2 linked regions of the Saccharomyces cerevisiae S288C genome follow. The gene in region 1 interacts genetically with each later gene. Each region holds a gene or a part of one and is shown in the gene's direction. Other genes may lie near its edges.

What was found.
Region 2: mutations in QNS1 (region 1) and PHO5 are lethal when combined (synthetic lethality), as found in Saccharomyces cerevisiae (one study listed by BioGRID).

What each region holds. Positions count from the first base shown.
Region 1 is NC_001140.6:244,480-248,981, forward strand, and holds QNS1 (glutamine-dependent NAD(+) synthetase), read left to right. Parts: upstream 1-1,713; coding exon 1,714-3,858; downstream 3,859-4,502. Other genes in the region: oxysterol-binding protein related protein OSH3, read left to right, coding at 1-1,093; PPE1 (phosphoprotein phosphatase methylesterase 1), read right to left, coding at 3,960-4,502.
Region 2 is NC_001134.8:428,721-432,872, reverse strand, and holds PHO5 (acid phosphatase PHO5), read left to right. Parts: upstream 1-1,921; coding exon 1,922-3,325; downstream 3,326-4,152. Other genes in the region: PBY1 (putative tubulin tyrosine ligase), read right to left, coding at 1-837; acid phosphatase PHO3, read left to right, coding at 3,772-4,152. UniProt on the Saccharomyces cerevisiae protein: Partially mediates extracellular nucleotide derived phosphate hydrolysis along with NPP1 and NPP2.

The sequences.
Region 1 (4,502 bases):
ACCTGAAGCTGCAGCTTCTCCGCCAAGCCTATTATCTTTTTTGAGAAAGAATGTAGGCAAAGATCTGAGCTCTATTGCCATGCCAGTAACCTCAAATGAGCCTATTTCTATTTTGCAGTTGATATCAGAAACATTTGAGTATGCTCCACTTTTAACGAAGGCTACCCAACGTCCTGATCCTATAACCTTTGTTTCTGCATTTGCTATTTCCTTTCTTTCCATATATAGGGATAAAACAAGAACGCTAAGAAAGCCTTTTAATCCTTTACTGGCTGAAACATTTGAACTTATACGAGAAGATATGGGGTTTAGGCTTATATCGGAAAAGGTCTCACATCGTCCTCCAGTATTTGCCTTCTTTGCAGAGCATCTCGACTGGGAGTGTAGTTACACTGTAACGCCATCGCAAAAGTTTTGGGGTAAGTCTATTGAATTGAATAACGAAGGTATACTGAGATTGAAGTTTAAGACAACTGGAGAACTATTTGAATGGACGCAACCAACAACTATTTTAAAAAATTTGATAGCGGGTGAGAGATATATGGAGCCTGTCAACGAATTCGAAGTACATTCTTCGAAGGGAGACAAATCACACATCCTGTTCGATAAGGCAGGTATGTTTAGTGGAAGATCTGAAGGATTTAAGGTTTCGATAATCCCACCACCTTCGAGCAATCGCAAGAAGGAAACTCTAGCTGGTAAATGGACACAGAGTTTAGCTAATGAAACTACACATGAAACTATATGGGAAGTAGGTGATTTAGTTAGCAATCCGAAGAAGAAATATGGCTTTACTAAATTCACCGCAAATTTGAATGAGATAACTGAAATTGAAAAGGGCAATTTACCACCTACGGACTCAAGATTAAGACCAGATATTAGAGCTTACGAGGAGGGAAATGTTGATAAGGCGGAAGAGTGGAAGCTGAAATTGGAACAACTTCAACGTGAAAGACGTAATAAAGGGCAAGATGTGGAGCCTAAATATTTCGAAAAAGTATCTAAGAATGAATGGAAATACATAACTGGACCGAAGAGTTATTGGGAAAGAAGAAAGAAGCATGATTGGTCTGATATTTCTCAACTCTGGTGAATGCCTTGATGACATCAAGTGAACTTTTTTCCCCCCTTTGTACTCTATTTATTTTCCATCTTTAATGATCATCCACACAAATTACTTGTATATGCGTTCATGTATAGTATACTATATACAACATGAAGGACTTTATAAATTCTTGATCAATCTTTCACACTAATTTTATATTAACAGTTCTACACTATTTTTGTTTGCTTGACTGTAAAAACATTCTATTTTATGATTAGTTGCAAAACTTGAAAAAAACAATAGAATTTCATCACATAATTGAAAGATAATGAACTCTTTCAGTCAGTTAGATCCATGTTTTTTGAAGAAAAGTTTACGAACACAGGATCTTACAAAAGGTGCCTAAATTTGGAATTGAAAGTCTATTGCTATCAAAACTTGTCAAAGATAACATAGCTTGGAACATCTTATCCTTTATATGTCCTGCTAAGTCATATCAAGAGGCCCCAATAGTTTCGTCGAAAAAGATAAAGAGGAATATGGAAGGGAAATATAAGATTATCAACTGGTTACCTCAAAATAGACTATATGCTCACATCATCAATTGATATTGCTTGTAAAAATACCCCCAAATACCCTGGCATTCTTTTTTTGACTCCCTGCCAGTAATGTCACATCTTATCACTTTAGCTACATGCAACTTGAATCAATGGGCCCTAGATTTTGAAGGTAATAGAGACCGTATCCTACAGTCCATTAAGATTGCCAAAGAGAGGGGTGCCAGGTTACGTGTCGGCCCAGAACTGGAAATAACTGGCTACGGATGTTTAGATCATTTTTTAGAAAATGACGTTTGCCTTCATTCATGGGAAATGTATGCTCAAATCATTAAGAATAAAGAAACCCATGGATTAATACTTGACATTGGTATGCCCGTTCTACACAAGAATGTTCGTTATAATTGTCGTTTGTTATCCTTGGATGGTGAGATATTGTTCATAAGACCTAAGATTTGGTTAGCTAATGATGGTAACTATAGGGAAATGAGATTTTTCACACCTTGGATGAAACCTGGCGTGGTGGAGGACTTTATCCTTCCACCTGAGATTCAGAAAGTTACCGGCCAGAGACTTGTGCCATTTGGGGACGCTGTGATAAATTCATTGGATACATGCATTGGTACAGAAACTTGTGAAGAATTGTTTACACCTCAATCCCCCCACATCGCCATGTCTTTAGATGGTGTGGAAATCATGACAAACTCATCTGGTTCTCATCATGAACTGCGTAAGTTAAATAAAAGGTTAGACCTAATTTTAAATGCCACTAAACGTTGTGGTGGTGTTTACTTGTATGCAAATCAAAGAGGTTGTGATGGTGACAGATTATATTATGATGGCTGTGCACTAATTGCCATCAATGGTACAATTGTAGCCCAAGGTTCACAATTTTCGCTAGATGATGTGGAAGTAGTTACTGCTACTGTGGACCTAGAAGAGGTGAGGAGTTATCGTGCAGCTGTCATGTCTCGTGGCCTACAAGCCTCCTTGGCAGAAATAAAGTTCAAGCGTATTGATATTCCTGTAGAATTGGCTTTAATGACCTCCAGATTTGATCCTACAGTGTGTCCAACAAAAGTCCGCGAGCCTTTCTATCACTCTCCTGAGGAAGAAATTGCACTGGGACCTGCTTGCTGGATGTGGGATTATTTAAGACGTTGTAACGGAACAGGGTTTTTCCTTCCCTTATCTGGGGGCATTGACTCTTGTGCAACTGCAATGATTGTCCACTCTATGTGCCGTTTAGTGACCGACGCTGCTCAAAATGGAAATGAGCAAGTTATCAAAGACGTTCGTAAGATAACACGTAGCGGCGATGATTGGATTCCAGACAGTCCACAGGATCTAGCCTCAAAAATATTTCACTCCTGTTTCATGGGTACGGAAAATTCATCCAAGGAGACAAGAAACAGAGCAAAGGACCTTTCCAATGCAATTGGATCTTACCACGTGGATTTAAAGATGGACTCATTGGTATCCAGTGTGGTGTCCTTATTCGAAGTAGCCACTGGCAAAAAACCAATATACAAAATATTTGGGGGATCTCAAATCGAGAACTTGGCTTTACAAAACATCCAGGCGCGTCTAAGAATGGTTCTTTCTTATCTTTTTGCGCAACTGTTGCCGTGGGTTCGTGGTATCCCAAACTCGGGTGGATTGTTAGTACTTGGTAGCGCAAATGTTGATGAGTGCTTACGTGGGTATCTAACAAAATATGACTGCTCCTCCGCAGATATCAACCCTATTGGGGGTATTTCAAAAACTGACTTGAAAAGATTCATTGCCTACGCATCAAAACAATATAACATGCCAATCTTGAATGACTTTTTAAACGCTACACCAACTGCAGAATTAGAACCTATGACTAAAGATTACGTTCAATCGGATGAGATAGATATGGGGATGACGTATGAAGAATTGGGCGTGTTTGGTTACCTAAGAAAGGTTGAAAAATGTGGTCCTTATTCTATGTTCTTAAAACTTCTTCATCAATGGTCCCCAAAGTTAACACCTCGTCAAATATCTGAAAAGGTGAAAAGATTTTTCTTCTTCTATGCCATCAACAGACACAAGCAAACTGTTTTAACTCCTAGTTATCATGCTGAACAGTATTCACCAGAAGACAACAGATTTGACTTACGTCCTTTCTTAATCAACCCAAGATTTCCATGGGCTTCAAGAAAAATTGATGAAGTTGTCGAGCAGTGTGAAGCACATAAAGGCTCAACGCTTGACATTATGTCTATTGATTAGCACAGAAGAAGTGCTCACAGCAAAATAAGACTTTTCCACGAGTTCATATATTCTGTTATTTATTCTATCATAAATAAAGATATAAAAGTGATATTTAACCCTTATGTATTTTGCACGGTTTTGTGTTGACCCCAATTAGTCTTGATTACTACATTCCTAGAATCGTTCCGCTTCCAGAAATCAATTAAAGTGATTGCTGTTTTTATAGGCGAATCTTCTTGAATGAAATGCCCGGAATCTTGGAAAACTACCAACTGATATTTACCTTGCATTTGCCCCACAATTAATTCTTTATCGAGATTTTCGTTTCCCGCCAATATTAATAATTTACTAACAGGTAAGCCAACAAAGGAGTGCGACAGATCGGTAAACCATGTGTCCCAGAAAGGGCTAAAGGTCTTAAGGTTTGTTATCCTGACAACTTTCCCTGACTTGAGCGGAGCAAATAAAGCTGGTATAGCAATTTCGGCGCTTGACCTCAATCTCGATAACGCGTGTTGAACGTGCCAATCGACAGCGTCATTAATTGATTCAAATACATTGGGTGTATTCTGCAAAAAATGTTCAACTTTATTTAAGGCCATAATGGCAGCCTCTTCTACAATATCTAACATAGTAATACCAAGAATTTTCTTTTGTAGTTC
Region 2 (4,152 bases), on another chromosome or scaffold:
GTGAATAGAATCCTTATGTGCCCCAAATTTTGGAGCCCAATTAAAGGAAATCGATGATGATTCATTACCGTCTTCGATCTCAGCAAAGCTATTCTCTAGGTTAATGTGAGGGCCGTTGAATATTGGAATCCATCTATTTTCCCAAATTGGTGCATAGTAAACCTTTGTATCATCACTTAAACTCTCCACTAAAGGAATATTGATACTATATAGATCTGTTTTTGGGTCCCAATTCTTAACAAGATGTTTGATAACATCTAAAGATCTCTTAGAGGCCTTCTCCATTAAAAGTGGGGAGACGTTTTTCAATCCATTAAAATAGGCCCAAGAAATAGCAATGGCCTTTGTATTTCCAGTAATAACAGATTCCATTGCGCCTCCTACGGTACCAGAAGAGGTAATATAAGCAGCAGATGTATTTCTACCAACATTTGGACCCGACAGTACTAGATCAAACGGTTCATTAGACAATAGGTGCAGCCCGATGTTTGCGCACGATGCTGGAGTTCCATCGATTAATATCCACTCAATTGTATCTTTCGGAATTTCAGCATTGAGAACATAAGGTAATTTAGAGTTTTCTGACCTAATTTGTGGCTGGATAAATGGGCCCCAAAAAGTATTGTCTTCAGCGTCAACTTTAGAATATATGAATTGAGCTGTCAAATTTTTACCAGCAAGATGAGCCTTACCCACCCATGATTTCTGGACATGAGGTACACAAACCGTGATTTTCCATTCAGGATAATTTCTTTTAATGTGCTGAATAAAAGGTCTAATGTATGGTGAAAACTGATCACTTAAGGGACCATCATCGTTAGTTATTAAAACCCGCATCTTAAAAGAAATATTTATTGTTTCCGAATTTTTAATGTCAGAGATCAAGTCAGAGCGGCTGCCTTTACCGTAATTTTCAATTGCTAAATACAATGTTCCTTGGTTATCCCATCGCCAATAATTTTTATTTTTACCACTGTTGAAGAAGCGAAAGAAAAAAAAAGGGAAAATCAAAACATTCCCTGTGCACTAATAGAAGAAAACAAGAGACTCCGTCCCTCTTTAGTGAGAAAATTGACCAGAGATGGTTTTTGTCCATCTTTTCGCAAAAAATTAGTTCTATTTTTTACACATCGGACTGATAAGTTACTACTGCACATTGGCATTAGCTAGGAGGGCATCCAAGTAATAATTGCGAGAAACGTGACCCAACTTTGTTGTAGGTCCGCTCCTTCTAATAATCGCTTGTATCTCTACATATGTTCTATTTACTGACCGAAAGTAGCTCGCTACAATAATAATGTTGACCTGATGTCAGTCCCCACGCTAATAGCGGCGTGTCGCACGCTCTCTTTACAGGACGCCGGAGACCGGCATTACAAGGATCCGAAAGTTGTATTCAACAAGAATGCGCAAATATGTCAACGTATTTGGAAGTCATCTTATGTGCGCTGCTTTAATGTTTTCTCATGTAAGCGGACGTCGTCTATAAACTTCAAACGAAGGTAAAAGGTTCATAGCGCTTTTTCTTTGTCTGCACAAAGAAATATATATTAAATTAGCACGTTTTCGCATAGAACGCAACTGCACAATGCCAAAAAAAGTAAAAGTGATTAAAAGAGTTAATTGAATAGGCAATCTCTAAATGAATCGATACAACCTTGGCACTCACACGTGGGACTAGCACAGACTAAATTTATGATTCTGGTCCCTGTTTTCGAAGAGATCGCACATGCCAAATTATCAAATTGGTCACCTTACTTGGCAAGGCATATACCCATTTGGGATAAGGGTAAACATCTTTGAATTGTCGAAATGAAACGTATATAAGCGCTGATGTTTTGCTAAGTCGAGGTTAGTATGGCTTCATCTCTCATGAGAATAAGAACAACAACAAATAGAGCAAGCAAATTCGAGATTACCAATGTTTAAATCTGTTGTTTATTCAATTTTAGCCGCTTCTTTGGCCAATGCAGGTACCATTCCCTTAGGCAAACTAGCCGATGTCGACAAGATTGGTACCCAAAAAGATATCTTCCCATTTTTGGGTGGTGCCGGACCATACTACTCTTTCCCTGGCGACTATGGTATTTCTCGTGATTTGCCTGAAGGTTGTGAAATGAAGCAACTGCAAATGGTTGGTAGACATGGTGAAAGATACCCTACTGTCAGTCTGGCTAAGACTATCAAGAGTACATGGTATAAGTTGAGCAATTACACTCGTCAATTCAACGGCTCATTGTCATTCTTGAACGATGATTACGAGTTTTTCATCCGTGATGACGATGATTTGGAAATGGAAACCACTTTTGCCAACTCGGACGATGTTTTGAACCCATACACTGGTGAAATGAACGCCAAGAGACATGCTCGTGACTTCTTGGCTCAATACGGTTACATGGTCGAAAACCAAACCAGTTTCGCCGTTTTTACCTCTAATTCTAAGAGATGTCATGACACTGCTCAATATTTCATTGATGGTTTAGGTGACCAATTCAACATCACCTTGCAGACTGTCAGTGAAGCTGAATCCGCTGGTGCCAACACTTTGAGTGCTTGTAACTCATGTCCTGCTTGGGACTACGATGCCAATGATGACATTGTAAATGAATACGACACAACCTACTTGGATGACATTGCCAAGAGATTGAACAAGGAAAACAAGGGTTTGAACTTGACCTCAACTGACGCTAGTACTTTATTCTCGTGGTGTGCATTTGAAGTGAACGCTAAAGGTTACAGTGATGTCTGTGATATTTTCACCAAGGATGAATTAGTCCATTACTCCTACTACCAAGACTTGCACACTTATTACCATGAGGGTCCAGGTTACGACATTATCAAGTCTGTCGGTTCCAACTTGTTCAATGCCTCAGTCAAATTATTAAAGCAAAGTGAGATTCAAGACCAAAAGGTTTGGTTGAGTTTTACCCACGATACCGATATCCTAAACTTTTTGACCACCGCTGGTATAATTGACGACAAAAACAACTTAACTGCCGAATACGTTCCATTCATGGGCAACACTTTCCACAGATCCTGGTACGTTCCTCAAGGTGCTCGTGTCTACACCGAAAAATTCCAATGTTCTAACGACACCTACGTCAGATACGTCATTAACGATGCTGTTGTTCCAATTGAAACCTGTTCCACTGGTCCAGGGTTCTCTTGTGAAATCAATGACTTCTACGACTATGCTGAAAAGAGAGTAGCCGGTACTGACTTCCTAAAGGTCTGTAACGTCAGCAGCGTCAGTAACTCTACTGAATTGACCTTCTACTGGGACTGGAACACTACTCATTACAACGCCAGTCTATTGAGACAATAGTTTTGTATAACTAAATAATATTGGAAACTAAATACGAATACCCAAATTTTTTATCTAAATTTTGCCGAAAGATTAAAATCTGCAGAGATATCCGAAACAGGTAAATGGATGTTTCAATCCCTGTAGTCAGTCAGGAACCCATATTATATTACAGTATTAGTCGCCGCTTAGGCACGCCTTTAATTAGCAAAATCAAACCTTAAGTGCATATGCCGTATAAGGGAAACTCAAAGAACTGGCATCGCAAAAATGAAAAAAAGGAAGAGTGAAAAAAAAAAAATTCAAAAGAAATTTACTAAATAATACCAGTTTGGGAAATAGTAAACAGCTTTGAGTAGTCCTATGCAACATATATAAGTGCTTAAATTTGCTGGATGGAAGTCAATTATGCCTTGATTATCATAAAAAAAATACTACAGTAAAGAAAGGGCCATTCCAAATTACCTATGTTTAAGTCTGTTGTTTATTCGGTTCTAGCCGCTGCTTTAGTTAATGCAGGTACAATTCCCCTCGGAGAGTTAGCCGATGTTGCCAAAATTGGCACTCAGGAAGACATATTCCCATTCCTGGGTGGTGCCGGGCCATACTTCTCTTTCCCTGGCGACTATGGTATTTCTCGTGACTTGCCTGAAGGTTGTGAAATGAAACAATTGCAAATGCTTGCCAGACATGGTGAAAGATACCCAACTTACAGTAAAGGTGCTACCATCATGAAAACATGGTATAAGTTGAGCAATTACACACGTCAATTCAACGGCTCATTGTCATTCTTGAACGATGATTACGAGTTTTTCATCCGTGATGACGATGATTTGGAAATGGAAACC